4 linked regions of the Drosophila melanogaster genome follow. The protein of the gene in region 1 purifies or fractionates together with the protein of each later gene. This does not show direct contact. Each region holds a gene or a part of one and is shown on either strand. Other genes may lie near its edges.

Evidence for each region.
Region 2: the proteins of Non1 (region 1) and RpL7-like purify together in Drosophila melanogaster (affinity purification with mass spectrometry, with the first as the bait; one large-scale study listed by BioGRID). This does not show direct contact.
Region 3: the proteins of Non1 (region 1) and CG8545 purify together in Drosophila melanogaster (affinity purification with mass spectrometry, with the first as the bait; one large-scale study listed by BioGRID). This does not show direct contact.
Region 4: the proteins of Non1 (region 1) and Nop56 purify together in Drosophila melanogaster (affinity purification with mass spectrometry, with the first as the bait; one large-scale study listed by BioGRID). This does not show direct contact.

The regions. Positions count from the first base shown.
Region 1 is NT_033778.4:9,392,801-9,400,973, forward strand, and holds Non1 (putative nucleolar protein 1), read right to left. Parts: upstream 5,935-8,173; 5' UTR 5,832-5,934; coding exon 5,784-5,831; intron 5,659-5,783; coding exon 5,384-5,658; intron 5,315-5,383; coding exon 3,679-5,314; 3' UTR 3,465-3,678; downstream 1-3,464. Other genes in the region: l(2)03659 (lethal (2) 03659), read left to right, coding at 1-483, 544-1,004, 1,063-1,328, 1,389-2,318, 2,383-2,400; ODA-Dnal1 (outer dynein arm dynein axonemal light chain 1), read right to left, coding at 2,596-2,898, 2,953-3,064, 3,129-3,280; l(2)k10201 (lethal (2) k10201), read left to right, coding at 6,289-6,954; CG33774 (uncharacterized protein), read right to left, coding at 7,047-7,068, 7,148-7,248. UniProt on the Drosophila melanogaster protein: Involved in the biogenesis of the 60S ribosomal subunit. Required for normal assembly of the mitotic spindle. May be involved in both centrosome-dependent and centrosome-independent spindle assembly programs.
Region 2 is NT_033779.5:12,053,140-12,060,730, reverse strand, and holds RpL7-like (ribosomal protein L7-like), read right to left. Parts: upstream 4,384-7,591; 5' UTR 4,310-4,383; coding exon 4,299-4,309; intron 4,233-4,298; coding exon 3,584-4,232; intron 3,517-3,583; coding exon 3,403-3,516; 3' UTR 2,839-3,402; coding exon of another isoform or gene 2,518-2,838; 3' UTR 2,480-2,517; downstream 1-2,479. Other genes in the region: Rab3-GAP (Rab3 GTPase activating protein), read left to right, coding at 1-144, 206-333, 393-1,518, 1,704-1,901, 1,965-2,141; CG34164 (uncharacterized protein), read right to left, coding at 2,518-2,838; JhI-21 (juvenile hormone Inducible-21), read left to right, coding at 5,435-5,646, 6,233-6,428, 6,647-6,749, 6,807-7,074.
Region 3 is NT_033778.4:12,463,540-12,472,222, reverse strand, and holds CG8545 (uncharacterized protein), read right to left. Parts: upstream 3,573-8,683; 5' UTR 3,471-3,572; coding exon 3,374-3,470; intron 3,312-3,373; coding exon 2,341-3,311; intron 2,280-2,340; coding exon 672-2,279; 3' UTR 501-671; downstream 1-500. Other genes in the region: Nepl10 (Neprilysin-like 10), read right to left, coding at 1-308; dgt5 (dim gamma-tubulin 5), read left to right, coding at 4,151-4,245, 4,313-4,590, 4,654-5,878, 5,945-6,132, 6,199-6,470; Lac (lachesin), read right to left, coding at 7,342-7,883.
Region 4 is NT_033777.3:22,416,878-22,424,454, forward strand, and holds Nop56 (Nop56), read right to left. Parts: upstream 4,192-7,577; 5' UTR 4,080-4,191; coding exon 4,077-4,079; intron 3,914-4,076; coding exon 3,511-3,913; intron 3,446-3,510; coding exon 2,361-3,445; 3' UTR 2,218-2,360; downstream 1-2,217. Other genes in the region: lqfR (liquid facets-Related), read left to right, coding at 1-433; mats (mob as tumor suppressor), read left to right, coding at 4,712-4,725, 5,091-5,257, 5,319-5,797; pinta (prolonged depolarization afterpotential (PDA) is not apparent), read right to left, coding at 6,719-6,917, 6,975-7,204, 7,421-7,577.

The sequences.
Region 1 (8,173 bases):
CAGCGTAGCACGTCATCTCTTCGATCAGTGCGTGCGGGGTCATCTACGCGGAAGCACCGTAGTTCTGGTTACCCACCAAGAGCAGTTCCTTCCGCACGTCGATCAGATTGTGATCTTGGCGAATGGACAGATCAAAGCACTGGGCGACTATGAGTCGCTACTCAAAACGGGCCTTATCACTGGTCTGGGAAGTCTATCAAAGACAGATAAAGCAAAGACAGAGGAGCAAGAACCATTGAACCTTAATTCTCCCGACAATAAAAACGAAGTAACTCCCATCAAGGAAAACTCCGAGCAGACCGTCGGAGGTTCCAGCTCGGGAAAGGAGCACGTGGAGCGCCAGGAATCAGGTGGCATTAGTTTGGCTCTGTACAGGAAGTATTTCCAGGCGGGAGGTGGATTGGTGGCTTTCCTTGTCATGCTGAGCAGCTCTGTGTTGGCCCAGGTGGCTGTAACTGGTGGTGACTACTTCCTTACTTACTGGTAAGTTGGTATAACAGGTCTGATTAAGCCTAATTGGTATAAACTCCTTATATTTTCAAGGGTCAAGAAGGAGAGCACTGCTGCTGGCCATGGCGAAATGGAGGATATGGAATCGAAAAGCATGGATGTATACAAATACACACTGATCATAATATTGTCAGTTATCATGAATTTGTCGTCGTCATTTCTGTTATTCAATATCGCCAAAAAAGCATCTATTCGACTGCACAACACCATCTTCAATAGAGTTACTCGAGCTGACATGCATTTCTTTAGCATTAATAAGCATGGAAGCATTCTAAATCGTTTTACCAAGGACATGAGCCAAGTAGACGAGGTCCTTCCCGTGGTTCTGGTGGATGTGATGCAGATTGCGCTTTGGCTAGCCGGAATAATCATCGTTATAGCCAATGTCAACCCGCTGCTGTTGGTTCCAACACTCATGCTGTCCGTAATTTTCTATCATCTGCGCAACTTATATCTGAAAACCTCGAGGGACTTGAAGCGCGTAGAAGCTATAAGTACGAATTCCTTACATTGAATGCATTCAGTATCGATAGAAACTTAGTATTTGTACAGATCGATCACCAGTTTACTCGCATTTGGCTGCTTCACTGAATGGCCTAACCACCATCCGAGCCTTGGATGCCCAGCGCGTTCTGGAGAAGGAGTTCGACAGCTACCAGGATGCGCACAGCTCTGCATTTTTCATGTACATAAGTACATCGCAGGCATTTGGTTATTGTATGAACTGCATATGCGTGATTTATATATCGATCATAACGCTTAGTTTCTTTGCCTTTCCTCCGGGCAACGGAGCTGATGTTGGTCTGGTCATAACACAGGTAAGCCATTACACTAAAGCAGTCACTATCACCTGCCAATCACCTTTTGGTTACCCACAGGCCATGGGACTGATCGATATGGTTCAGTGGGGAGTACGTCAAACCGCCGAGCTGGAGAACACCATGACAGCCGTGGAACGAGTGGTAGAGTACGAGAGCATTGAGCCGGAAGGAATGTTGGAAGCTCCGGACGACAAGAAGCCACCCAAGACGTGGCCAGAACAGGGTGAGATCATCTTTAAGGAACTAAACCTTCGCTACACACCGAATGCCAAGGCAGAGAATGTGCTCAAGTCGCTCAGCTTCGTCATACAGCCCAGGGAAAAAGTGGGCATAGTCGGCCGAACTGGAGCGGGTAAATCCTCGCTCATTAACGCCCTCTTCCGGCTATCCTACACCGATGGATCCGTGCTTATAGACACGAGGGACACACGACAGATGGGTCTGCACGATCTGCGCCGACAGATCTCGATTATACCCCAAGAGCCTGTGCTATTCTCCGGTACCATGCGATACAATTTGGATCCCTTCGACGAGTACAGCGATGAGAAGCTGTGGGGCTGTCTGGAGGAGGTGAAACTGAAGGAGGTGGTGTCCGATCTGCCCGATGGCCTGGCCAGCAAAATCAGCGAGGGCGGAACCAATTTCAGTGTGGGTCAGCGCCAGTTGGTCTGCCTGGCCAGAGCCATTCTGCGAGAGAATCGCATCCTTGTTATGGACGAGGCAACGGCCAATGTGGATCCTCAAACGGATGGCCTCATCCAAGCCACCATTCGCAGCAAGTTCAGGGATTGCACTGTTTTGACAATAGCCCATCGATTGCACACCATCATCGATTCCGACAAGGTGATGGTTATGGATGCTGGACGTGTTGTGGAGTTTGGATCGCCCTATGAACTGATGACCAAATCGGATTCCAAGGTATTCCACAACTTGGTCAATCAGTCGGGTCGAGCCAGCTACGAGGGACTGCTGAAAATCGCCCAAGAGGTTAGATTTAATTAGTATTCTCTAAAAATGAATCCTTTAATGAATAATTTACAATTCATTGCAGACATTTGAATCCTCCTAAGGCCGCAATACTTACTAGTCCAACTGACCAGTTAGATAAACTAATATTTTAAATAAAAATCTAAAGACGAAACTGATTTCTAAAATAGTACATGTTGTGTATTTTTCAAGATTTTTTTTTTTGTTTTCTGCTATGAAAGTTCGCATGGAAAACCCAATCTCTCCGTCATCCATATAAACCGAATGGCCATCAGACTTAAAGCTGCGGCTCCTCGTTGAGCACGACTGGTTCTCCGTCCAGTTTGCGGATGGTGGGCAGCCTCTTGATGCACTCCGCCCGCCAAGTGGGCTCGTCCAATCCCTCGGATAGGGGATTTCCTACCACCACTAGATCTTCGAGAGATTCGATCTCGGCCAGGCGATTGAATTCCGACCAGTCCTTGATCAAATTGTTGCTTATATAGAGCACCTTCAGGCATTTCAGACCAGTCAAACCCTTAATTTTCTCGATTAGGTTGTAGCTGAGCCACAGCTCCTCCAGAGTTTCAGCCACCGCTTCCTACATAAGAGAAGCAAATGATGTGCTAATGGAACCTATCTAATTCGTCCTTACCAGCCCGGATATCTGCTTAATGTAGTTCCGTGATAAGGACAATACCTTGAGGCACTTCATGCCCGATAAGCCGAATATCTTCTCAATCATATTCGTGGACATACTGATTCTCCTGCAGGGGAAACAGAAAAGTAGGAGTTCATTTTCCTCGAAGAACTAAGAACTTTTAAGCTCACTCGCACTGCACCAGCGTACCCAATGTGCTGTCCATTTTCTCGATGGGTGGCCACTGGAATTGCAGATCAATAACCTTGGCAGTCAGGGAATTTTGCTGCTCCCGCTCCTCCCAGCGCTTCAGAGCCTCCTTAATTGTGGTGGCTTTGGACATGATGTTGCTGTGCCGAACAACTTTTACTCATTGGACAAGAAAATTGGTAAAAACCAAACAAACTTCCACGTTGCCAAGGTGAAGTAAGAAACGAGCAAATATCCATGGGGGTAAACTTTGTTTGTGCTAAAGACAATAGTAATGCACATGCTTTTCAGGTCTCTCTCTTTATATAAACTTTTCCAGAAGTCAAGGCTCTTTGCTTTTTATGATACAAAAATTCCACCAAAGTTTACTGAGTGTGTGATGTGTGGTCCCCGAAAAATAAACAATTTGTTTGTAAAAATACAATATTGTATTGAAAATGTTTTTCAGGGATAAAGATAGACGCTTAGTTTATACAGAGGAGCAGGCGAGCCCACCAGGTAGAATCACTTAACCAGCCAAGGCTGCGGCGCTTAACGGCGATCCGTCTTGCCATTTCCACGCTTGCCGGAGAACAAATGCTTCGGCATCTTGGTGCCGATGAAGCGATCCGCCTCGCCCTTGAGACCCCTGCTTGTGACCTTCTTGGCAATATCCCGCTTGGCCATAATTTGCGCCTTCTTGCGAATGGCCAAGTTCTTGATGCCCAGTGTGTCGCGCGACGGCGCCCGCTTCAGAGGCTGACCAGTCTTCCTGACCACCGCAGAGGACTCCTTGTCGAGCAGCGGCTGCATGGGCACCTTCTTGGAGCCAACTGCCACCTGGCCACGACGCAGATCCACCACGGACTTGGTGAAGTTGGCGTTCTCGCTGCCGGACATGTCCACACCGAGGCCCTCCATCGTCGACACCAGTTTCTGTACGGAACGGTCACGCACCTTGGGCTGCTTGTTTCGTGGGATGACTGGCTTGTTCTTTCGCGACGACAGTCGCTTTTCGTCGCGCAGCTCGAAGCGCTTGCCACGGATTTGCTTGGCTATCTCGCGGATCTCCTTGAGCGTCTCGTCCATGGTCATATCGGGCACCTTGTAGACGCCGCTCTCCTCCCGCAGTCCCTCCTCGCGCTCCAGCTCCTCCAGCTTGTCGAAGATGTCGGCATCGATGTAGTCGGCAATGTTGTGACCCTGCCAGAACTCTGGAATAATGTCGTAGCGCTCCTCCTCGGGGATTTCGCTGTAGTTCTTCTTGAGGTCCAGCGTGTAGTCGTCGCCCATCTCCTCCTCGATCTCCTTCTCCAGCTTGCGCTTGCGCTCTGCCTTGTCGGCATTCTGTAGCAGGCGCGCCGAGGCCTTTTCTGGGATGCAGGGTGCACGAAGTTTGTCATCTCGCGGCGCTGGCATCGCCACATGCAAGCGGTTCAGGATGTTGTCCACCTTCTTTGTGCGCATCTTCTGGTCAACACGGTACGAGAGCAAACGCTCACATGCCTCGGTTTTCACCTCCATGACACCGGTTTCCTGTACGGTGGACATGAGCATTACGGGAATGTTCTTGTCCTCCTGTAGTTTGGTGATAATCGCTCGTCGCTCCTCTGGCAGATCCTCTGGTGTTAGAATATCGATCTTGTTGATGGCCAGGATGAGGGGTTTGTTTGTAAACAAAGGCTTGATGCTCTCGAACAGCTTGACCTGTTCCTCCAAGGAGTGTCCGCACTGCTCGGAGATATCCATGAAGTACAGGACGCAGGCGCGCAAATGAGCCAAGGCAGTAATGGCTTGCATTTCGATCACATTGCGCTCTTCCAGGGGATGATCCAGGATGCCGGGTGTGTCAATGACCTGCCAGCGCAGATATTTGTAGTCTGTGTGTCCCACGTACAGGGATTTCGTGGTGAAGGCGTAGGGCTGCACTTCCACATCGGCGCGGGTGATCTTGTTGATGAACGAGGACTTGCCCACGTTGGGGAAACCGCAGATGATGATGGTACGCGAATAGGGATCGATGGTGGGCAGACGCGAGAGATGCTGACGCACTTGCTCCAGATACGTCAGATTGGAGGCCTGTCGCTTCATAATGGTGGCCATGCGACCCAGGGCAGCTTTCTTCAACTGTTTGCAGCGATACAGCGAGTCACCGTACTTCAGCAGGCGCACGTAGTCCTTGGCCACACTGCGGGATAAAAAATAGAATAGTTAATCGAACCTTGTTCGTTTGGGGATCTGTGACTTTGGCACTCACTTGTCCACCAAATGCCTGGCTGTGTTGAGTTGACCCAGCGCCAGCTTGTAATGATCCTTGTCGTACAGCACGTTCATCAAGTCGGCGTAGAAAGGATGCACGTCGTCCAGTTTGGGAAAGTCCTGAATGATCTGCGACAAGCGATCGTGGAAGTTCTGCTGCGTGTACTTCACCTTGCGCGTGTAGAATGCCCGGATTCTGGATATTTTGTAGCCCTTGTGGACCACCGTCGGGGTCTTGCGCTGTGTCTTCGACAGCATAATGTCGATGAAGTCCTGTGGAAAGGGCAAAAAATAAAATATTATTTACATATTGCGCATATTGGTAAACACCTCCAGTGAGGTTATGTCTTTGCTTCAAGGGGTGCTCCGCGGGACGGGCGCTGCTGGGTACACCTTACCTTTGCTGGCGGAACCACCATGATCTTTTTGAAGTTGTACAGACTCATCTTGGCAGGATTTGTTTATTTTCCACGCGTCGAAAGGAAAATAAATGCGGAATCGAAAGCAAAAACACCACGCGGTGTCAGCTTCGTATTCCAAAAAGAACCGGTTCTCGGGCGGAACCAGTTTAGGTTCACATGTGCTGCACGGCGATGCCAGCCCGCGTAACTAAGTCTGGCGATGTGGCATCATTTCAAAGGCATTTAAGATGTTTCAACTTAATTGCAGTTGTTTAATATAGAAATATATCCATCTAAAATATGAGCGAGTATTTCAATTCATTAATTATGTCTATTTTACGTATGCACTTCAAAAATTGTATTACTATTTCAATTCAAAAGGAAATTATTTTTAATTTTTATATAAATTAAACAAAATCACATCTTCCAAGAGGCAGTACAGTGGAAACATGTTGAAACTGGCGTAGGAACCAAAACAAAACATTTTGGCAACACAAACAAAATGGATTCGGAAGCTGCGGGAGTAGCACTTCTCTCCAGAGAGCAAATCATCAGGATACTAAGCGAAGTGCCAGCGGGATTCATAAAGCCCACGGATCCGCCTGCACCCAGTTTGGCGCCCTTCAAGAAACTCGGCGTTCTCGTGGACATCGATGACATCTTGGGCGAGCAGGATGCGGCGGCAGCTAGGATCAGGGACAACATAGATAAGGAGCAGAGCTACAGCTGCGTAGAATGCCGAAAAATGCTGCCCACTGCCCATCTACTGGATCTGCACATCACCGAACAGCACGATTGCTATTTTGCCGCCAGCGTGGAGCGCGGTGACAAGCCCATGTTTTCCTGCTTTCTGGAAGAGTGCACCATCAAGTTTCATACTGCCCGGCAGCGCAAGGATCACTGCATCATAACGCACAAGCTTCCGGCAAACTATCGCTTTGATCATAGCAAGAATAGGGGCAAACAGAAGCATCAAGGCAAAAGCAAACCCAATTCCATGGAGGTGGACGAGGTGATAGAGGAAACTAAAAGTTTGCCCTACGTCAAGGCCTTCAGCTTTGGACATCAAACGCAGAGGAGTTTCTACACAGGCAAAGATCAGAGATCTGGCAAAACACTGGACGATGTCCAGGCCATGAAGGAGGCCATTAACGACATCCTGGATTAGATTTGTACAACTACATATTTATTTTGCGAATGAAGCAGCATTATCATTATCCTGGTAGAACTATATTAGTCTGTTAGCGGAAACATCCTACATCATTTTGCCTTGGCACTGGGCCTGTAAATAAATGAAAATCGGTTTTATTGTTGATTCCGGGCTGTCTTCTTCCTCTTCTTCACCAAGTGGGATTACTTACTTTCCGGTATTGGCATTAATATAATGATAGGCAACCACCAGCAGGAACAGAAATACGCCCAGAACGTTGGAGAAAATGGCCAATTGCACGTCGGTGATCATTTTGCAGACAGTAACACGTTCTATGGATAAAAACAAACTAATTGATTAGAAACGAAGTGGGCGAGTGACACGTCATGGGTGCGGTGTGGAAATCGCGATTTCTGGCCTATTTCTGTATCCACCAAAATGCAACGCGGGATTATGCATCTCATTTGTCGATTAACTTCACCGATTGTTTCGTTTGCGTTCATTAACTTTAGTTTATTACCTTTTTCAGCGAAAAAACGAGCCGGTTTTTATTGTGTACAAATATTTCAGCGTGACCGTAGATCGACCACTAAAATATACCGATATACCTCGCGAACCATAAATAATACCAGATATACCAAACCGGATATTTAAAAAAAAAATCGTTTTCTTTTCTTTTTTTTCAATTTCAAAATGAACGTCATTTATAAAAAGTAAAAGGTTTCCACCATATTTTATTTTTATTTCAATAACTCCATAACATTTGAAATCCAAAACTCGTTATCACCTTTTTACTACAAATAACAAAACCATATTCTTAATTCTATTTTATTTTCATAAAAATATTCAGCGAACAATTGTAAATTCTCGCCAAAAATTATAAATTAACATATTTAACGGCCATCTTAGAAATATTTTAATTATCTTTCCGTATCCAAAGCTTAAAACTAGTTTACATAATACTTATTGCTTTCATATATTTTTTGCGCAGCTCTGTTTTAAAGGTCACTTGTTTTGTGGAAATTGTTGCGTCAGTTAAAAATATTTAGTATAGCTATCGTCATACACAGATCTCTCAATTGCTCTAGTTTAAATATTAAAGAAGGCACTCGAGTGCACTTGCAGCTAACACATACATTCACGCTCAGCTCTTAAAATGCCAGTACAGGAATAAATTAATTGGGAAGGCTCGCAAAGCTAGGCTTCACTGTCCCCATGAAGAAAGCCGTAAGAACAT
Region 2 (7,591 bases), on another chromosome or scaffold:
ATCCATGACTATGCCTACAATGCCATTTCACCGTGGTGGCAGGAAGTTCGGGAACTTCTCTTGGAGAGTAAACAATTTTCGGGCTTGCTGGTGGCCATTGTATGCAAAACGGTAGCGACTAATTTGTGGCGAAACAGAAAAGAGGTAGGTCTACTCCTAGTCATTAAAATCAAAAACTCTTTTGCGAAAAACACTTTTTCCTTAGGGATCTTGTGATGAATCCTCGCAGAACGAAGATGATGAGCGCTGGGAGCGTATCTCCCACGATGAGGCTCAGTGGGGATTGCTCACTGGCAAGCTAGAGGATGTGGCCGTGCTAGGAGCCATACTAAGGTAAGTGCCAAATCAATCGTTCCACTTAGCTCCTTTATGAACCACTGCTTCCTTCGCAGTAAGCCTCTCATCTGCCGGGATCCTGTTGGTCCAGAGATGTCCTACGAGCCACCGGACTGCAGTCTCAAAAGCATTGTGAGCAGTGGCAAAGGCATCGTCACCGAACTGACAGCCAAGTGGCTGATCAGTGCACAATTGCATCCGAGTAAAGTTTTGGAGATATCGCCTCCCGAAAACGAGTTAGACGACGAGAGCAAAGTTAAGATAAAGGATGAGCCTACCAAGGAGTCAGTCGATGAAGACGCGGAATCAGAAGAGGATTTGGAAATGGCAAAGGAAGTGTACGCGGCGAGTAAAGAAGCCCATGAACCTATTCTTGAAAGATTGGCTCTGCTGCGTGCGCATTTTCCCTTCAGCTTGGAATCGGGCGTCCTCTTAAGTCTCATGTCGTGGCAGTACATGGTCCAGTGGAGCAAGCAGCTCTCATCGCTGGACCACCTAAAGGCAGCATTACTTTGTTTAAACCAATTCCGTACACCTGACTGGGCCCTGAAGCATGGAATATGTTGCATGCTGTGGAATGCCACCCTGAAGTTTCCTCTACAGGCGGCGGCGAAGCTTATTCAAAAAGTGGGACGCCTGCCAGTGGACAAGATGTGCCAGCAAGATCTCGAGATGTCTGCGGGTAAAGTGCCAGAGTTTCTAGAACTCAGCCTCGAATTCCTGCAGCATTTCACCGCTTCCATGGAGCACGATAAGCGTGAACTGCACTTCGAGCAGTCGCTCAGCGAAGGAGCCCTGCCATTGCAGTTTCTGGCTCTCCAGCAGCACCATGCCATGCCGCAGCTGCTCCGTCTTCAAACAGAACTGTGCAGCGTGCTGCACTTCGTTTCCTTTTTCCAGCTGCGCATTCCAAAACCACTGACCACGCTTTTTGACTCCATGAGCAACAAAGCTCTGCTGGCGGACATCAATAAGGAACTGCCTTATGTTTTGCCTGCACCAGATCTTGTCCTGCAACAGCAGCGCACTGAGTTCCTGTGTCGCCTTGTCACCGCTACCATGGATCTGATTAGAGAGGATTTGGAGCAGCTGTACATTCTCGATCATGTTTTCTACATGGGCAAGATCTGTGCCTTAGCCGACAGTTGGGAGGTCGATAAACTTCCTATCCTACGACGGCAGGTAAGAATGTACATACATATATGATCCCAGAATTCCTAATCTAGGAACCCATGAACACACATGACAGGGAGCTTACAATCCCTTTTGCCTTTCAACATCAGTTCGTTAGTTTGCTCCGTAGAGAGCACAACAGAGGAAACACAATGGAATAGAAAATATATTCCAAATATTTTTCCCTCCTCCAGGTGGTGGAACTGTACGCTTTTGGGTATGATGCGGAGGCTCAAGTGTTGCTCCAGGACATCAGCGATGACGAGGAGCTGGGCCGACTGCTGCTGGAGATCGCTGGCCGTAGACTTAATCTTTACGCACAGAGCTCGCAGTCCACGTTCCTGAAGATTGCCTCTGTTGGCCACCAGTTGCTGGCCTACCTAGACAACCTGGTAAGTGCTGCAAGCGCATATATCATTCGCAGTACTGATCCATTTCTCACGCCGCTTACGCAGAAGGAACCGATGACGGAGAACAACATTCAGATCGCGGCCACCAAGCCCGACGAGATCGATGTGGCTGCCCTGGACAGGCTGTTGTCGCATGCCTACAAATACCTTTGCCGGCGCGAGTCCAAGCAGCTGCCCATCATTGGCCAGATGTACAACGCCGTGCGTATCCTGCAGAATTAGGAGTGAGGATGACACATAAACACTTGGTTATTTTACATTTCTCTCATGATTTTTATGGATTCAAGAATGAACCCAATATTGATTGTTAAAGCACCACATGCGGTCCCATTAATTGTCTTATACTTATCAACCTAGTAGCGATTTAAACAACCTACGAAAAGCATCATATTAATTACTTTCAAGAAAAAGGATACTAAGATCTGCACCGATAGGAGGATGTATTCAACACGAATTTGATGTGAAGCTTATGCCTACAAGGATTATGAACATGTATATTTAATAAAATAAAAAAAAAAATTTTAATATTCTTTTACTAAATTTAAGGGATACCAAAAGATAAAATAACAATACTTTCTTTATTGATGCCCAACGTAATTTAATTTATATTTGAGCAGGGATCCAAGCGGGTCTTTGAACTTCGTGCCTTGGGCGCTGCCTCCAAGTTCTCCGCCTGTATTCGTCCGATTGCCTCCGGCGTGGGCAATCTCTCCGGCATCATGGTGGCGTGCACTTTGAGATGAGTGTAGACGGCAATGTAGCTCTGGCTGGTGTCCAGTTCGATGGGTGGACTCTGCTCTATGCGGCCAGGCAGGGCAAAGTGCTTGCCAAGAATGGGTTCCTTGAGAGATCGGGCCAGAATTTTTTGCAGTCCATCGCGGTCGGTGTCCAACTGCTCGCTGTTGAAACTTGAATTCATTGAGAATTAATTGAATCTAAGGATTTTGAATTCCAATGTGTAGTCCCTGGAGTTTTATCCGAACAAAAGATACGACGACCCGAGTTGCACTAGGTTAGTGGCACTGACTCCGACTAATCGAAAAACAACAGTTCCTCCTTCATGGCAACAAGTAGTTCAGTTTGGCATACCTTTCGTTTGCGAGGAGCCACCTCGGTTATGACTTATTTATTATTCGAGGCAGAAAGTTGATTCTCTGGTTTGTTCAATTTGGGAACTCGGCTGGGACACGCAAGGCCAAGAAGCAAAGAACTTGTTTCGTGGGTGAAGTTTATCATGTTGATAAACATGTAGAATAATGAGGAATGTCGTTAGAGACAGTTTCATGTGGTTCCTTAATAGTCGCAGGATTGCTTTTATAGGCATACAGTAAACTCACGATAGTGCTGACCTGACCATCTATTTTCTTCGTTAAATAAGTACGCTCAAATAGAATACGTTTGTATATAGATGTGTATTGGGCTTAGCTACAGAATGGGTTATAGAGGTTGAACAATCACTTAAGGGTTTACTAGGCTAGGGTCTCTACAGGCAGCGGGCAATCAGTTCGTTGATGGCAGTGCCACGATCGCCGTACTCGCCACCGCGTTTGTACGAGACGGATACCTTCTTTTGCCAACCATTGCTGGGACTGGACAACTGGAAAAAACCAAATGGCGGTAATAGTATAGTTTTAAGAATTGCAAAAGAGAAGTTGTTAACCAACCGTGAAGGCGCACAGAAACTCATTTACAGCGGCGAAGTTTGGACCCACTGTGCAAATTTCGTGGATTATATCCTCCAGACAGATGACACCCTTGTCGCCCAGCTGTTGCTCCACCATGGTGTTCGACTGGATGGCCGTCTTCTTGCCGTCGATGCGGGCGAAGCCCTTCTTGAAGACCAGCTCGCGAATGGAGCTCAGCGAGGGATTGCCGTAGACTACAAAGGGTTCGATAACGCGCAGCAGCAACTGGTTCTCCTTGGTGTTCTCCATGAAGACGGCGTTGTGGCGCGAGCCCATGCGCAGGGTTCGGAATATATCCGCGGTGGTCTTGTCGAAGATCTTCTTGCCCGCATGGCGCATCACGAAGAGCAGTTTGGGATTGGAATCGTCGGCAGCTTTGGCACTTTGTTCGGTGACATTGGTGCGCAGAATGGTTTGCTTGATCCGCTTGGACGTGCGCTCTGCTTTCAGGTAGCCCATTACGAAGGATTCGGCACGGCGGAATTTGTGGTGATTCTTGGTGGCGGTTCTCTTTTTGATGCGGTCATTTCTTTTCTGCGTAACAACAGATTCATCCTGCAGAATTCTCCTCTTGCGATGCTTTAGCACCGACACTGTTTTGCCGGGCAATTTGTTGGGCACCGCATATCTAGGGATCAAAAGTATAAGATAATGTTTAGGGTCAACACATTTTTATAGTTTTTCAATCACTCACTTGTCTGACATTGCTGGTATTTGGCTTTTTAATCGAAGTAAATTAAAACACGTGCAAGCACCAAAACAATAACTAAAAAGGATAGAGGTGGGCGCGGAGCGATAAGTGCTTTGCTATCGATAAGTGATGTGTGCAACAGCTGAGCGCGTTTCGTGGTGAATAGCTAACAAATTTGAAATTTTTGGCGGGAACATTTAAGAAATTGTATTATTCAACTGAAAACTATGCTTAATAGTTATGCCATAAGATAAATTTAGCATTAGCTAGCATTCAAGAGGACAGCTTTAATGTTTTCTTCTTGTAAGTAACCATTTGACATTAATTTCCGGTTTTGAGCACTCATTTCTCATTTTTTTTCTTTACACTCATTCTCTCTCTCTCTCTGTTTCTCTCTCCGTTTGCTGCTCTCACTCTCTCACTGCGTTTTAGGGTGAAAATTGCGTTAATTTTAGTATGAAAATGCCGGTCTCGATGCCAACGCACAGTCGCTGTTCGCAGTCAAAGCCGTTTTGTTGTGTCCGCGCTCTCGAGGTAAAATAAATCGTGTTTTACGTGCAAAGTCGCTGGGAACAAGATAAACCGAAATTAATCAGCCAAACTGCATTCCAAACCTTGCGAATAACCAACAAAAAAAAAAAGAAGCGAATAAAAGCAATCGAGCAATTGCCAGAAAAACTGCAACTCTGCAACTGCAAAATTCATTGCCACGCGTCGTAAGGTGATGACGAAATCGTGGAAATTGGCACGCGGCAAAGGCGTCACCATAAAAGTGGAGCTCCCCATTAGGCAGCTACACACCACAACATGCCAACCCCAAAAATCACCCTACTTTAAAGCTAAATTTCGTGTATCGAAGATAGTGGCGTCGGGGAAACATTCAAGTTTATGCCTGACAATGGGAGATTAGTTAGCTGCCAGCGAGGCAAAAATCGGGTCTTCTTCACTAGCAATTAGTAACTAAAATCAGCACTATAGCATTTGTTTACAATTTGCGCAACACGTGCTCGCGCCCCATTTGCTGATAGTAATGAAGGCTTTTTTTTCTACATTTCAACTTTTACCCTTCATTCCAGTGACAATGTGCGCTATTCGCCATTAGAAGAGGGTAAGCAGAAGAATCCCACAGTGCAGACATCATGACGGACCGATATGCCAATGGAGTGACCACCAGCCTGGTCGAGCCCACAAATGGATGCGCCGCGCCGGGTAATCCAAATCCCGCTGATGGCGAGGAGAAGATTGTCCTCAAGCGGAAGCTAACACTCATCAATGGAGTGGCCATCATAGTGGGCACCATCATTGGATCGGGCATCTTCATTGCTCCCACGGGAGTCTTTATTTACACCGAGTGAGTGGTGATACAGAGCATCCTCCTTAATTCAATTTATGCACAAAAAAGGTCAATTTAGCTGTTAATTAATGGATAGATTGTCGCAGGCATTCCTTTAGCACCAATTAAGATACATTTATTAGTTCTCGATTTTCCCTCAAAGATTCAACCTTGAAATTCTGCCCACATATTGCGTCAGCTTTTTAAAGTGTTTTTTTTTTTTAAGCGAATTGTCTCCAGTCACAAGAATAACGTCAATAAGGCGCGCCAAACATTTAAATTATTGATAAGAGCCACAAAAAAAGGTGTGCGTCATAAGCTTAAGGCGGCTGCGAAAAATTCCAGGAAGTTAAATTCATAAAAGTATTTTATCGAAATGAAAGCTAATCCCCAGCACTTGTTTTTTTTAGATGTTTTGTTTAAATACCATTTTACTATTATTGCTTACAAATATTTGCCACCGAGTTAATATTAGATCTATATTTATAATTTTTATTGCTTTATATATATATATATGTATGTATTCCCTGACCATATTTGTTTACGAGTGTTTATTTTCATTCAAATTGTTTATTGATTCGATGACTACTTTAAATCATTTCAGATCCGTGGGAAGCTCCCTTTTGATTTGGCTGACTTGCGGCATTTTATCGACGATCGGAGCTCTGTGCTACGCGGAACTGGGCACATGCATCACAAGATCTGGCGGGGATTACGCCTACCTGCTGGTGTCCTTTGGACCGCTGGTGGGATTCCTTCGCCTCTGGATCGCACTGCTCATCATCCGGCCAACCACGCAGGTCAGTTCCTATAGTACTCATCAATTGAATTACGGAATGTTTACTTATTTGGCTTGATTGATCGATGGGTTGTTGATGCAAATAAATAGAAATTTATTAATGGGCGGCTACCTTCGACCGGAATTGAATTCAATTACGAGTAGGACAGCTTTCTCCGCTAGAAACAAATGGCATGTGGGATTTATAGTATGAATACATTGTTTTATTTTTTTTTTTAGACCATTGTGGCTCTATCTTTTGCCCATTATGCGGTCAAGCCATTCTTTCCGGAATGCGATCCCCCACAGAATGCGGTGAAACTGCTGGCTGCCATATGTCTAAGTAAGTTGGTTAAACAATCCACTCAATGTTAATTAATTGAAACTCCCACTCTCCCAGCTCTGCTCACCACAATCAATTGCCTGTCGGTGAAGGTGTCCATGAAAGTGCAGGATGTGTTCACGGTGGGCAAGCTGCTGGCCCTCATCATGATTATCCTGTCCGGACTGTACTACATGGCCACTGGCGAGCTGGAGAACTTCAGAAATCCGTGGGAGGGTATCTACACGGCCCGCAACATTGGCTACGCCTTCTACTCCGGTCTGTTTGCCTTTGGTGGCTGGAACTACTTAAACTTTGTGACGGAGGAGCTACAGGATCCATACAAGTGAGTAGTGGTGACAAGGATAAATGGTTGGGTTGGGCTGGGTTTATTTGCCTCATTCATTCCTTGTGCGTCATGCGCAGGCAGCAACAAGTGGAAACTTGTTGAGTGTCCTTGATGTCATTCCTCCTAGAATACCACCCAGTGGGTGGGGGATGCTGCCTCATCCCTAACGAATTCAATTTGCAATCAATTTAAGTGCTACGCTCCCTGCACAGCCAAGTGGCTTTCTCGCTGAATAGCACGTTCTTTGACACACTGAAACAAATTTCAAGTAGGAAACTCAATTCTTATGCGCAGTAAAGCCCGTAGATTAGTTTTAGTTCTGATGTTTCTAGTTATTACAAACCAATTATGATTTTTTCGAGTATAAGGTAAATGTTTTCTATATCAACGGTCATCGAAAGTGATAAGATATCTCTTATTTTACCTGAAAGCTTTTTAATGTTTTAGTTCCGAATGAAACATCATAGTCAACTATTAAAGATAGTAGTTATTTGCAAAAACAGTAGTTAGAAGT
Region 3 (8,683 bases), 3.1 Mb from region 1:
GCCTTGTAGTATTGTCGCATTTGCTTTATCAGTCGGGGTGCCAGTGTATCGTTTTCACCCAAGTGGCTCTCCATGAATTCCACCATGGCAGTGGCGAACTGATCCTCGACTCGCTCAAAGTTGTCCACATATTTAGAGGCACTGGAGAAGCGACCGCAGGCAAAATTCCAGAAATTCGTGCACGGTGATGTTGTTCTATTGAGATTATTGTGAATATCGTTCGACGTTGCCACGTTGATGTCCACTATTGCCTGGATGGGAATGAATAATGCCACCAGGCAAGAGCACAGTAAAAGTAAACATCCCATTAAGCTCGCTCGATTCACAATGAAACAACAGATTATCGCAACGCTCTGCTGAGCTCGGCCACCTTCGAACTACCTATAGAGCTTTGGGGCTGATAGTGACAGCTTGGTCAATACTAGAATTCACATTTGAAATGTAGAGCAATTACCTCTAATGAAATGTGCCTGCCACCTATATAAACCCGCTTGGTGAGTACATTAAACCGATCTTAACGTTTATTGAATCTTAATTACACCGCTGTTGTAGTTCAATCTTCAATCGTTCGCTAAGACAGTTCGCAATATAAAATTGGTAATCGCGTCGGGACTACCCCAACTATATGTCACACGCTTATAGTCTACTTAACAAAACTGGATCTAAGGTGTTCACTTCTTGAACTTTTGCTTCTTTCCCGCATTCGCACCCGCCGTGGACTTTTTCAGCTGGCCGATCTGTTTGGATTTTTGCTTCAGCTTGTTCTGCTTCTTGATGGGTTTTCCCTCGAGAATGGGCACATCGTCGATATCCACTCGCGGCGCCTTGGCCAGTTTGGCGTTTCCCTTGGGCGACTGTTTTCCTTTCGGCTGTGGCTTCGTTTTCGTTTCCTTAATTGCTGATTTGCTAGGGGAGTTTGTGCCATTGGTTGTTGGCTTATTGTCATCTGGTTTAGCTGGTGATCCGGCTCCATTTTCCTTGGGTTGCGATCCTTTGTTCTTTTTATTGAATGATTTCGCATCTGAATTGGAAACAGTGGTTTTCCCATTGGTTTGTTTTTGTTTAGGTGCAGACTTGGAAGGTGACTCGCTTGAATTTGTTTGCTTGTCCGGTGCCTGGGATTTCTCATTTTTCTTCTCTGCTGGCTTTTCTGGCTTTGGCTTTTTGACAGGCTGCTCAAACACCTTGGCCACATACTTGGTCTTGCTCTCTTCCCGCTTCTTTTTCTTCAGTTCCTGTTCGATTTCGGTGAAACTGGGTTTTCCGGCGCGCTTTCCAAGCAGTTTTCGGGGACCCTTCTCCTTTGACGCTACCTCCTCCTCCACCTCCTCAGACTCCGCAGCCGCTTCTGTAGTGGCGTCCGCTTCGATGGCCTCATCCAGCTGCTTTTCATCCTCCTCCTGCTGCTCCTTAGTTATGGGTATGGTGTTGGAGAATTTCTTGAGCTTGGCCACGTAGAACCCGTCCATGTTGTGGGTGTGCGGATAGTAGCGCTTGGTAAGGTTTAAGCTAGGATGGAACCGATGCTGACGGAATTTGGTAAAGCCCTCCACGCCGAAGTCCAGACCAGTGGGCACAAGTTTGACATTTCGCTTCTTCAGTGCATAGTCGATGACCCATTCGTTCTCCTCGGGCAACACCGAACAAGTTGAGTATACAATGTAGCCGCCAGTTGATGACTTCGCATCCGTACAATCTATGGCAGTCAGCAGAAGCTTCCTCTGCAGGTTGTAGCACCTTTGTACATCTACTTCCGACTTGGTGGTCTTCACACTGGGATCCTTAGAGACGACGCCAGTTCCAGTGCACGGAGCATCCAGCAGGACACGGTCAAAGCCAGTCATAATATTCCGGAACTTAGTGCCATCCTCGCAGCTGACCACTGCATTTACAATTCCCAGGCGATGGAAATTGGCAACAATGGCCTTGATGCGATCCCTGTTAGAATCGTTGGCGAAGAGCACACCAGTGTTCTTCATGATGCTTGCGATGTGGGATCCCTTTCCACCTGGGGCGGAGCACATGTCCAGGATGCGTTCGTTCTCTTGCGGGGCGAGTGCCATTACAGGCAACAGCGAAGAGGCGCCCTGGATCATGTAGTGGCCAGCCAGATACTCTGGAGTTGCACCCAGTGGCACCTGTGAGTTAAAGACAACCAATCCAACTTTCGTCCATTTACCAAGGGGATCCAAGTTGACGCCACGATTGATCAGAGCTCCGGCCAAATCCCTACGACGTGTTTTTAGAGTATTGGTGCGTATGGTTAGGGGACGAGCAATCTAAAGGGGTTAATTTTTAATGATTAATCTTGTAACTATATTTTTTATGAAATATACTAACCTCTGAGGCCTCCAGATATTCCATTAGCTCTGTCAGCGGCAACATATCCATCAGCTTCTCCATCAAAAATTCGTTGTAGCTGTAATACAAACACAGATCCCTGCGCAGCAAATCGATGTACTCCCCGCGAGACCTATCCGCTTGACGATACCTTTTGAAGTCGGAAAGAACCAGACTGACGTCCTTTATGCGCTGTTGCACTTCCTGCAGGGTTAGGTCCTTCTCGGTTTCTTCGCCTTCGACGGGTAGCTGGAAAACATCCTGCTTGTCAACGGTTTCCAACATTTCGTCGTCGGCCAGTTGGGCTTCCTCTGCCTCGCGCTTTTTCAACTTCTTGTTAGCCCGCTCGATGGGCAGCTTGTCATCATCATCATCATCATCATCATCGTCGTCGTCCTCATCCTCCTCTTCATCACTGTCTGCCTGAGCACCATCTTCCTCGCCAGATATGTCAAAGTCATCGTCGGAGTTGGCATCATCATCGTCGGATAGATCGGCCAGCTTGCCAACCTGAGCGGTATCATCATCAGATTCCAATCCTTCCTCATCGTCTCCCTCCTCTTCCTCTTCACATTCTTCTCCCAACTCATCTTCGGAGTCCTCCTCCGACTCCTCATCCTCCTCCTCCTCCTCCTCGGACTCCGTTTCTGGCTGCTTCTGTTGCTTCTTGGGCTTCAGCCAGGCATCATTATCATCTGTAAAACCCTTGGGAGCTGTAGCTTTCTGGCCCTTCGGAGCCGGCACCAGTTGAGGCACCTCCTCATCGGAGGATGCAACCTGTGGTTCCTCTTCATTATCCTCAGGATCGCTGTCGCTGTTGTAGGCCGTCTTCCGCTTAGCCGGTTGTGGTAACTTTCCCTTGGCCCTCTTCTCCTGTAGTTTGGCCTTCTGGACTACTTTCTTTTGCTCTCGCTTAACGAACCTCTGCTTCTGTCGGTGGGAAAGCTTCTTGTCCTCCTCTTCCATGGGAGCTGTGAAGTAAAACATTTGAATTGAACACCCATTGAATAGGGTAATATTCAGGAGCTCTCACCAAACGATTGTTTGCGAAAAACAGGCGGTCCTTGCTTGCGCGCCTTGCGCCCAGGTCCCTTTTTCGGTTTCTCACTGTATTCAGCCTTCCGACCCATATTTTTAACTTAGTTTATCCAGTTTCTTGGAGCAGAACTTAAAAAAAAACGTGAGCACTTCGATTTTGCTCCACGTGCGCCGCTCAAAAGACAGCGAGTGTTTTCCAGCACTGGTCAGAGGGAATTGCTTGAGCCAGTGCTGTCAACTTTTCAGCTTTTAACTAGCTATGAACAATGTTTTTTTTTCAACATATATTAATAACTAATAAAATTATATATTACTTTAAATTTTATTTTGTCGGACTTTGCTTGATTCTTACACAGTTTATTTATACAGATTACGTTAGTATATATATTTGGAAAACACGTGGAACTTTTTAATTAAGATATTTTAGCTACTTGCTCTCCCAGCTGTTTAGCAGCAAACGTATTTCTCAGCACTATAAAAACGAGTTGGTAAACTAATTGGTAAATCCAAAAATATCATAAATAAAAAAAATCTGGAATATATCTAATTAACAGAATTCTTGCTTATAAGTAAGTATTATATCCATTCAATAATTAGATATGATCTTTAGTTGTAATTTAAAATGAAAAATTAATTTAAATAACCGTTATAGTTGCTGCCAACTTGATGCGAATAGTAGTTTGTTGACAACCCTGCCATATTTGATTGTGTTGGTGAATGGCTGGTTCAAACGACTGCGCCTTTTTGCGAAAAATTTAATTAGTTGCAAATCATGGCATACCAGGAGAAAATAACAGAATTTAAGAACTGGGCCACTAATCTTGGCTGCCCGCCCACTGCCCTGCCCACCGATGATGCACTCCGAAGGTAAGTTACAGCTGTGTTAGGCAAATCGGCAACTATCCGTACTTAAAACCCGCTTTTTGCTTCACAGAATTTTTAAGTCCGGCTCCAGTTTACTTTTGAACCAGCTGCAATCCCGCATCCAGCCGGTGGATTACGTGCGGGAGGTGCGCGAGAACCTGCTGATTGCCCAAGTGGCTCGCTACAAGGACAAAATGGTGCCGCTGGCCTCTAGGAGTTTCCAGCCACCGGAGCTCCAGAGGTACCAAAAAATACAGGAGCTAAAGAAGCACAAGGAGAAGGCGAACCAACAGCTTACGGAGGCCCGAAAAGAGTACCAAAAGCTATCTGCCGGCATCAAGACCAAGAGTGGGTATAAAGTGAACATACTGATAACCTTGACGTCAATTTAATGCGGTGAATCCCATACAGACATTCAAACCATCAGTGCTGAGAACCGGAAGCAACTACTTGAATCCAAATGCAATATCCTTGACCTGAAGCTGGAGTCGCTGAATAAGAACTACGACCAGGAGTTGAAGAACAAGATCCAAATCTTGGGCACCACGCCCGTGAAGCTGAGTGCTAGAAATGCCAGCGAGGCGCAGGCAACAAGGGCTGTGGAGCAGGCTCTCAAGCAGCTGGAGACCTTCTATGGAATGTGTGACGATGGCAATGCGGTGAACAATTTAGCCGAGGCCAAGCAGCGATTATGGGATCAGATGCGGAGCACCTTTGCGGATATTCCCAACTCCCTGCTTCTGAACGTGGTAATGAAGATCAAAGAGGAGCAGCTGCAGCACATCATGAAGCTGAATGAATCCAGAGGCGAATGCACAAATGATAAGCCACCGCTGAATAACTATGAGGTCAAGTTACTAAAGACCAAGGCCGATATGCTGGGTCTGGCGGCCAAATATTTCGCGGCCCAAAAGGAGCTGGAACTGAAGGAGGAACGCTTTTGCCAAGACTACAGCGTCTTTGTGGACAAACTGCAATCAAAGGTATACAGATTTAATGGCATAAGTTTGGGCGACGAGGAAAATGCGGATGAACTGATTAGCGACTATCTGGTGCAGTACAACATGCGCAATTTTAATCGCTCCCAAAACGAATTCCTTCGTGAGCAGATTGAGCAACTGCGTCTGGAGCTAGATGCGGGCGCCAAGCAGCTGGAGAATCACGATCTAAAGCTAGGCTCTGTGAAACAAGTATACGGCGACATTAACTCCAGCATCAATCGCATCCAGCAAGATATGGTGCAGCTGTCACAGATCAAGGAGAAGATCCTGTTTTCGCGAAATATGATGAAGAACCTGCTGGACGATATGCAAGCGGCCACACAGAAACAAAACGCCAAGTCCCAGCTGATGAGCACTAAGCTAAAAGTCAGCAATATGTCCATGTTGGGTGCGGAGAGTTTTTGCCTGGCCAATGATAGTGTGTTCTCCAGCACCAAGGTGGAGTTCGATGGCAACTGCAGCGCAATAAACTCAACGATGCGTCGCAGTTTTGACAACAAAACGCTAGTGCCGGGCGGAGCAGCATCTACCACACTGATGGCTGCATCCGGAGCCACGCTACCATCGCATTTGCTGGAATTCAATACATTTTTGGAAATACCGCTGGAAAAATTTAGCTGTACGCCGCGCGCCTGGTGAGAGCATACTTTAGCTGAATGTGCTATTTCCAATTAATCCAGAGTTCATGTTTTTTCCGACAGCTCCTTCCTGTTGTCGGCCAATCCACTCATCGTCGAGGCCCAGGAGTTGGCCTCCACCGTTCAACTGGCACCAGGCTATTTGCTAACACCCTTCGGCGCTCTGCAGGAAGTCCGAAAACGCATTTTGTGGGCGTCAGCAATTGCCGCACACACGTCTGAGTTGAAATTGAATTTGCAGCCGTTAATTGGTAAGCTCGATTCCGACATTTTGTCTCATATCCGTCTGATAGAAAACGTATCACCCTGCTCCCCAGTTGATCCGCACGATTTGAGACTGAAGGCGAGTCGTCAGCACGAGGAAATTGACCAATTGCTGGACAACCTGATGGCCATTGGGGTGAAGACTCAGTTGCAGCTGGAAAAGGCCGAGCGCATCTATCAGTTCCTGCTTGAGAATCCATTGCGACGCTACGTTCCACCCAGTAAACGATACAACAATGGCAGTTTCGCGGACTACGAGTCCGAATTCAATCTCTACTATCGCATGACCACCAATGGAAGTTCGATGCGAGCGCCACCTAATTAAGTACGTTATTTGTGTTGTGAATACTGTAGCCCTTTTCAATTTTAAATTATATGAATATCCTGTACTGTTAGAATGAAAAAACGTTATTTTAATTTTTTAAATATTTTTATTCATTTTTTTTTGTTAATTTTAGTTTTTCGTTTGTCTTTTTTTTTTTTTGTTACAAAGTCGAAATTGATTTTACTCACACCCACACAAAAATTTGGGTAAAAATGTCTTGTTATTCAAAAGAATTTCTCATTGTGCTTATGAGCTAATAATGTACACAACTTTTGTTGCCTTTTATTCGAATATGGATTTTGCCTCGATTATGGGGGTTGAGATATTATTTAGGGAATAGTGTGTCGAGCTGATAGGTTTGCGTAACGAAAATACTTTATTATTATTAAATAAAAATAAAATATCCTCTCAATTGTCGAAGCAAAATCGGAATGCTTGTGATGTATCTTGCTTAGATTAAAATATTTAAAACATATACAGTGCCAGATCAGAAAGCAAAACGGACGGGATCAAGGTGAAATGCATCGTTTACGGCTGGGCTGGAGTCTAATTTCGGTTTGAGTTCGGCTCTAGGGTGCTAATAAATTATAGTCTAGTTATCGTTGGCCCTTCACTTATCATACTTAACTTAAGACATAATATTGGACGTACAAAAATTGGGCTGGACTATACGGAAACGGAAGCAGAAGCTACAAAACGAACTGAGAACTGGATGTGGGTTGGTGTGTCCGAAATCGTTTGAGACATCTATTGCGCGGTTACACGATGTTTGTTTTCGATATATCTATTTTATATATGTTTTATGCATTCGAGGGCTGGTTGATGGATTGGACCTGAAGCGCTTGGAGTCGACGGCCGTGGGCCCATTGGCTTATCTGGCGAAGAGCAACGCCGCCAGGATGCCCACAAGAGCGAACGAAGTGGCGGACACATCCTCGGCTCCGGCGATGTACGCCTGTCCACAGGCCGGTGGGCACACGGGAATGATCGTCTCGAAGAGATTGACGCGCGCCTCCGCCTCTCCAAAGCGATTGGTGGCCTTGCACACATAATCTCCGTACTGGCGCTTCTCAACGGTGATCACACGGAGCGTCGAGTCGGTATACTCGTCGGCGGTGGCGAAGTGCGAGATGCTGTAGTGCTGGTTGTTGGCCAGCTGGATGTCGTCCTTGGTCCACACAATGGCCGGTGGCGGATAGGCCTCAATGTGGCACTCCAAGTCCATGTCGTACTGCAGAGCCTGTCCCAAACGAGGACGCGGCACGGTGATCACTGGTGCGAACTCCACCTCCACGTTGATATTGCGCCTGTCGCCCTTGCTCACTCCATTGTCGGCCACGCAGTAGTAGGTGCCGCGATCCTCCTTCTTCACTGACTTGATGCGCAGGGTGTTGCCCACATAGGTGGCACTATCTGGAATAGGCAAATTGGTATGGATGGATTGGGTTATTGCAATTAGATTTGGGTATGATTTTAAGCTTCCTATTACATTAAAACCCGAATGTATCTGCATACTATCTCATCAAATATTGTAGTATGTATTGTAATTTTGTTTGAAACCTAAACGATTTAGAGAATAAGTAATATGTAGTAGCGATCTAATAATACTTCAAATCAACGTAGACAATTGCCCTTTTGTATGTGGTGTAACCATTTCCATTATGGGTTTAATCTTATTCGCTGTTTAAATGACGCGCGTTCAAGTGCGAACACATCCACTGGCCATTAATGGAGCAGCTCTAAACGCTCTCGGTGCTCCATCTATTGTGTTTGTGCAGCGGGGGCTGAGTCAAAAATCCGATTTTAATGAGCCAACCCGCGGCACATCCGTTGGCACTTGCGGGTGACCTTTTCCAGTTTTTCACTGTCCACGGATATGGTCGGTGGAAGGCGAGCAGCGAAACAATGACAGCGTTAATGACCTCTAACAAGTAAAGCATTTTGTTTGGGCCTCTGCTCGTTTGCACTGCCAACTAATTTTGAAAAACGGAGTATGCCAGCGCCACTGCACTTAGCCATGAGTGCTCTAAAGGATGGGGGGATGTCCATGGGTTCGGGGTGCGCGCTAAGCAACTGAACCGTGAACGTGAATGGGAATAGGAATAGGAATTGCAGTACGAATGCCAAATGCCAAATGCGAAAGGTGCTCTGGGTTCATAACCGGAAGTTGGCTTAGCTCAACCAGGAATGAGTGGGGTGTACTATATATGTAT
Region 4 (7,577 bases), on another chromosome or scaffold:
GAGGGGACAGCGCACCCGTCAGATGCTTTACGTAAAATACGAAAATATTTCTCACGACATCGACACCCAGTTGCTTGTTAACCTGCTAAACACCATGTCCGTGTTGGTTATGTGCTCCCAGAACTGTCCACTGTTGCCAGCGATGACCCGCGAGATCTTTGACCTATGCGCCTTTGTGCGTTTCAATGCCGAGGCCCGCGTCCGAGCGGCCACATTGCAGCTAATAGGAATCGCCTTGGTAACCACACCAGCTCATGTGCTGGCCCAGCACTTTGCGGAGTCATTGAACGAACTGCAGCGCTGGCTGAATGACTTCATAAGATCGCCATTGGTGGGCGGAGAGACTTCGGAGGAGTGTCGTGAACTGGCCCAAAGCATTTTGGACACCTGCTACAAACTCTTTGATACAGCCGCCATGGAACAGGCTGCCTAACTTGGCCATCAAAAAGTTTTGAAAGCAGCCTATAGAGTTTTAAGAGATTTAAAATATTAAAACTGTATTTAAAATACACTAAGCATATTTCTTGTTACGGAAAAACGAACAATTTTTTACTGAAATATTTCCGAATTAATATATGATATATATGATTAAATACAAGATTACTTCATACTTTACATCAATTCTCATACAAACGTTAACGCTGTGTCCTTAAACATTTTCTTATAATTGTATAAACTAATAATAGACTCGAGAGTTAGGTATTTGCTAGAAATAAGACAACAGTTCTAGGAATTATTTTTTAAATATCTATCGCCCTCGAAGCCATTGTATTCCAGGTATACATATATGGATTTACTTCATTTATACTACTTTCTTTTGTTTATTTGTTTTTCTCCTACTGCATATTTGTATTGCAAACCACACACACATTGGATCCAATATTATTTCTCAAATATATACATACATATGTACTTAATAATGATGAATTGAAAAGCATTTCTCAATATTCCGGGCATTGTGCGGCCTCCGCAGCCACGGACTCATTAGGTAAACCAATCCAAAACGGCAATAGCCACATAACAGATACGAACCTATTCTTTCCTTCTGTAATTGCACTTGATTTGCTGCGCAAACGCTTCCGAGTAGTGACCACCTCATTAGCCGATCACCAAGTAGCCGCATTCGCAATTCTATCGAAGCCACATATTTAAAACAGCTTTTTGTGAAACCAAAATAAAAACGAAAACTGAAACCCCGAATAACATTATTATTGCATTTGTTTTTTTCCAGACAATATGATGCCTCCCATTCCCGCCGTCACGGGCAATAATCTGCTCCAGCCCATGTCGGTGACCAATAATAACAATAATACCAACGGAGGCGCAGTCCCCGCCGCTGCCAGTGTCCAGTCTACCGCTGTGGGCGCCACCTGGTCGGGCGACCTGAAGGGCGGCAAGATGAACATTGACCTGGACAATCTGCTGATGAGCAAGTCGGGCAAGCCCAGTGCCCCGGCCCCTTCGATGAATGCCCTGAAGACCAACAGTCCGGCAAAGGCGCCACTGAATGTGCAGACGGGTGGCGGATTCCCTGGACTGTCGCCAATGACCAGTCCGAACATTTTTGGGGCTCCGGCACCGCAGCAAAGCATTCCACAAAACCAATCAGCATTTGCCAACTTTGGAGCTTTCCAGCAGCAGCAGCAGAATCACAGCAATAATAACAATAATAGCTCGTCGGCATTCGACTTGTTTCAATGATATTTTTTAGCCTAATTTAACCCAACCAACCTACTACCCAAAATGTCCACTCTCACATTCACATTTCCACGATCGCTAAACTTGTCAGTTCTATATATTATTTACGTTTTCCTTTCCCCTTGCTGTACAAAGTTTGCGACACGTGCAATTTGTTTCTAAATTCGTTGTTAAACAATTTACCCCCGATGCAATTTTCCGGATCAAACCCATTAATTCCACATCCGTCCTGATCGTCCACTCGGAATTTGAAAGTCGTCATCAAATGCAATACACAGAGTAGTTGAATAATGGTTGTACTAAACGGATTCGTTAGCACAACGCGCGGACGGACGGCTGAGCGATCCAACATTGAAATTGTTAAACAAAATACTACACGTAATAAAATCAAACAATTTTAGCAATAGTTAACGTTACGATGTGTCTGTATATAAATTGAATGTAAAGCAAATATGAAATATAAAACAATTGAAACCAATAATTATGATAGTCTCTTGATTTAAAACGCAAACTCATAAAATTCCGGTGGGAATACCCTCCAAAGTATATGTTTATTATTATTTGAAATGCGATCCATCAGGGGGTCAAAGGAAATACAAAAGAAGCATGTAAGTAAAAGATAATAGTGTGGACTTAAACTAAGTTGAATGTAACAGAGACATTTACGCCTCCACCGCTTCCTTGTTTTTGTTCTTCTTTTTCTTCTTCTTCTTTGGCTCTCCATCATCGTTGCCATTGCCATTTTCCGCCTCGGCGGCTGCTCCGTTTCCATTACTGGCGCCATTCGTCTCGCCCTCGTCTTCAGCCGCTCGCTTCTTCTTTTTCTTCTTTTTCTCGGACTGTACAGTGATTGCCGCCTCTTGACCAGCTGCCTCGATGGCCTCCTTCATTACCTCAATGTTCTTGCGCGGCACATCGCCGGACTCGTAGAACTTGAGGCGATCTTCGACCTGTTGCTTAAGAGTTTCGCCAAACACGCTAGTCGGCTGTTCCAGGAAGCAATCGATACGCGACGCGATGGAGCACTTGTTGGCCAGGAATCGAGAGATGCGACCCTTGTTCTTCAGGCCAGCTCGACCAATGAACGAGGAGTGATAGATAAGACCATACTTGGGCGTATTGGAGCGGGTCTTTAGAGCACGGAAGAGCGCCTTCTCGGCACCCAGGATTTGTACTGTAGATGCTGGGTACTTGGCCAGATTAGTCAAGCTGCCGGCATGCGATATCAGGCGGGCACCGACCTGGTCGCCAATCAAAGACTGCAGATTGGGTGCCACCAAGTTCATCTTGTTGTGCAAGTAGGTAGACAGTTTCTTTCGGTACTCGGAAAGCTTGACAACGCGCTCTGCGAACAGCTCAATGTTCATCAGATCAACAATGGAGATGTCCATGCCCATGGACATCTTGGCGGCATCAATGATAGCCTGAGCCTTGGCGGAGTCCATGACGATCTTCTCAAGATCCTCCAGCTGGTCTTGCGTGAGGTTCTTGCGATCCTTGATGAACTTGGCCGCCTTGGCGAACATGTAATTGTCGGGAACGATTTTGACCAGTTCTGGGAAGTGATACGAGTACCACTCGCGTATCCGCATAGAGAAGGTATTTACGTCCTTATCCAACTGATCCAGCAAAGCAATCGACTGGATGATCATGTTGTCGGAACGATGAACATTGAACTTGACCTTGGCACGCGAGTAGCTGTGGCCCAGACCCAGCTGAGCAACGCCAGCGGACTTGTCGGTGAATCCTGCATCGGATGGAGGAGGCTTTAGTTAGACAAAGAGGATTTTCCTTGCAAAGCAGGTAGCTTACCCTTGACCAGCTTAGCGAAGTGGAATCGCACGCCGCGCAGAATCTCAGGAACCACTCCAAAGTGACTGCACTGGACGCCAATGGCCTCGGTGATTGCAGCTCCCAGCTTGGCATCCGCAATACCCAGGGTGCACTTCTTCTTCTTCAGCTTGGCAAAGAAGTCATCCAAGAAGGAGAGCAGATCCTGCGGCACTATGCCCTCGGATATGGCATTGATGTTTTCCAGTGCGGCAATGGCCGTCTTGAAAGGTGCAAATCCAGCCAGCTTAACAATTGAGTTGAACTTGGCGAGGTCCGTCACCGAGGACTCCACCTGGGGCAGGAACATGGACACCTCTTCGAACTCCTTGACGGAGAAGAGCGAGAAGCCCGCCGCATGCTCGTACAGCACATACAGGTTCGACTGGAGGCGGGGAAATGAAAAATTATCAGTCTGATGCGGTGGCAGACACATGTGGTTTTGGGTGCTCCGCGTGTGTAGGTTAGTTTTCGCAGGGAAAACATTTTCATTTCACGGGCAACCCGCAGAAAATTCAAATATATGATTATTGCACTGAAATATTTACCATGTCTATGCCGAATATATGCCGATTTAATTAAGAAATATATATTTTTATACACCCACGATGCTGCTACAGTTGTTTTCCCACGTGCTTACTTCAAGTGTGACCATAGCAAGCCGATTGCGAAATGTTAGGGACATACCAGATAAAATACCGCAGTACCGTACTGAATTATTTTAACAGGCTGGCCACGTTGATAGCCTGATAACCTGTCGCGTTGTCCCTCTCGCACTTTCATCAACTGTCTCTGTGTGTGAAAGCAATTTTATTTTTATTTATAACAAATTTTTTGCGTTTATAAACACAACAGAATTAACTAGTTGGCTCGGCACACTTCCTGGAACCGCTCGCATCAGCTGTTGGGCTACGGCACTAGTTAACAGACCGACCAACTGGAGGCCAGATACAGATACCATCATTGTCATTTCCCAATTGACCAGAGAAAGAAACCTGCTGCGAATTCCAGTCACTTTTCTTTAATTATTATTCGGCGCTAATTGTGTAAAAATCGGCGGAATAAAGCTGCTGACACGACACAGAAGAGCCGAAAAAGCGGTGTGGCACTCGCCGGAAAAGTCTACGCATAGGAAAATTCCATTGGAGGCTCAGTGAAAGGCGAAGCACAGCAATTGCATGCCATGGACTTCTTGTTGTAAGTTCTCAGGGGGGCAAAACGTAGTGCAACTGCAATCCTTTCGAGCACAAAGAAAGCTTGGATCACCCCGCCCCACATCTGACTTTCCGGCTTTGTTTGCCCTTTTTGGGGTGATATCCCCAACCTCTTGTACAGTGGAACTTCCCTAATTTTGTCTGCGGTGTTTAAAAAATAGCTTTTCAAAGATATCTTGCATTCTTCCTCAGTGAATTTAAAAAAAGAAAAAAAAAGGAAATATTTCTTTTAGGGAGTGTAAATTGAACGAAGTCGCTTACGTTTCAATCTATAGAATCTTTACTGTATTATGTTTTACTGAGTGGGGCTGTTTGGGGCCGCGACTTATTGCCTTTCTCTTTCCACAGCGGTTCCCGTTCCAGCAAGACCTTCAAGCCCAAGAAGAACATCCCGGAAGGCACACACCAATATGATCTCATGAAGCATGCGGCAGCCACGCTGGGATCGGGAAACCTGCGCAATGCAGTGGCCCTTCCAGATGGCGAGGATCTCAACGAGTGGGTGGCCGTTAACAGTGAGTCTAGTATAGTGTAACTAGCGAAAGATAACCAATTCTTATTGCCACTCCTTCGCAGCCGTGGACTTTTTCAACCAGATCAACATGCTGTACGGCACCATCACCGAGTTCTGCACCGAGGAGACCTGTGGCATCATGTCGGCTGGTCCGAAATACGAGTACCACTGGGCCGACGGTTTGACCGTAAAGAAGCCCATCAAGTGCAGCGCGCCCAAGTATATTGACTATCTGATGACTTGGGTGCAGGATCAGCTGGACGACGAGACCCTGTTTCCCTCCAAGATCGGCGTGCCGTTTCCAAAGAACTTTCACTCCTCCGCCAAGACCATACTGAAGCGTCTGTTCCGCGTGTATGCGCACATCTACCACCAGCACTTCACAGAGGTGGTGACGCTTGGCGAGGAGGCCCATCTCAACACGTCCTTCAAGCACTTCATCTTCTTCGTGCAGGAGTTCAATCTGATTGAGCGGCGCGAACTGGCCCCGCTGCAGGAGCTCATCGACAAGCTGACGGCTAAGGATGAGCGGCAGATATAGGAATCACTGCATGGAGCCGCGAATTTTCGCGATTCCGGCGGCGGTGGTGGTGGTCTGCGCTTGCAGTTGGACTTGTGATGAAAGCGCTCTGGCAGACTCGTGTATTACGCTTTAGTTAGTTACCGCCAATACTTTTATGTTTCGTTCATTGCTTCATGGGGTGCCTCCCACTAAACAAAAGAAAACAAAAAACCGCCAATTGGCAATGTGAACCGAACTATAGCGGGCTAATTGCTGATCCAGAGCAACTACTATATTTTTATATGTGAAACGTAAAAACGTATAAATCATATTTATATGTATATGTAAAGGAGAAAACAAAAGCAGCAAAAGCAACAGCACGCCTTTTATAACTAACACCTCCCGCTTTCGAGAAACAACAAATATTACGTTCACAAACTATGCGTGTTTCCTTGTTTATCGTTTTTCTTTCTGTATGTATTCTATGTATTTATTACTATTAAACTATCGCTAATTGCTCGCGGTTCAGCGGATCAAGCGATTTTGTAATGCAAACCCCAGCAATTTGAGGCGACGGTCGGCAGCACCCAATAACTGATAATAATTGTAGACTTGATAAACATTTTTGATACGTTTTATACTAATAAAGAGAATATTATGAATAAACTCGTCTCTTTTTTGTTTGGTTTATCGTGTATTGACACTTTATTAAGCAAAAAAAAAAAGATAACATTGATGATTAACACAACGAAAATAACCTTTTTTAAAAAGGTTTAACGTAATGACTTATAATATATACAAATATGGTTAAGTGGGGAATTAGGGAGTATTTGTAGTACCCTTCCATAAAATATGACAACTGATATGCGCCTTTGTGCATTTGCGCATTGTAAATGTTTTCGACTAATCTATAACATTCGGCTAATCGCCTTGTTATCACTGCCGCCACACTAACCCCAATCACTTGAGCTTGCTTTTGTATTTGTCTTGTTCCACATAGAAATCGGCGTTCTCCTCGACCAACTGCTTCCACTTCACAGACAGCTCCATATAGCTTAATCCCTGACCACCGAGTTCCTTTGGCAACTGATCGCAGCTCACGGATGTTCCTTCACGACGCACGAAAAGTCGCGATCTTATCTTGGGCGTCATGAATATTCTAAAAAAAATGATAATATATAGTAAATTCTAATTTGACTTAGAACATACAACCCACCTAAAGGTGTTCAAAAAGAAGTTCACATGGCGCGGGGCGTTGGTGAATTCCAATAGCTTGGGCTGACATGGATATGCGGTCCAGCTTTCCACGGATCTCTTGATGAGCTTCGGATTCATTTGAAGAGCGTGCCCCAGTTGAACGCCCTGCATATCCAGAATAGCCACCATTCCGCGGGCACAGGTCTCCGGATCGAGCTTTAGCAGCAGGTCCAATATCATTTTGCTGGTCTGGGAAACAAAGGTTGGAGATATAAGTATATGGAGGAAAAAATGTGGACGAAACTTATCGTATTTCATATTATTAAAATGTTAAGTTATTTTTTATTAAAGCACGAAAAGTTCGCCTTCATGACTATGTTTAATTTGTTAGCTACATATAGTTTAAGACATTTCATAAAATCGTTGTATTTTATTTTTTCCTGTGTACATATTTCCATGACTCACTTTAAAAACATTGTTCTGGCTGTGGAGCTTGGGATCGTGTGCTGCTGTGCGTATGACCACCACCATCCTTTGTTCGGCATCCGGACCGATGGGTAGGAAGACGCCCAGCTTGAGTAGGTCCTGGATCTCGGGCAATTGGGGATCGCGATTATCGAAC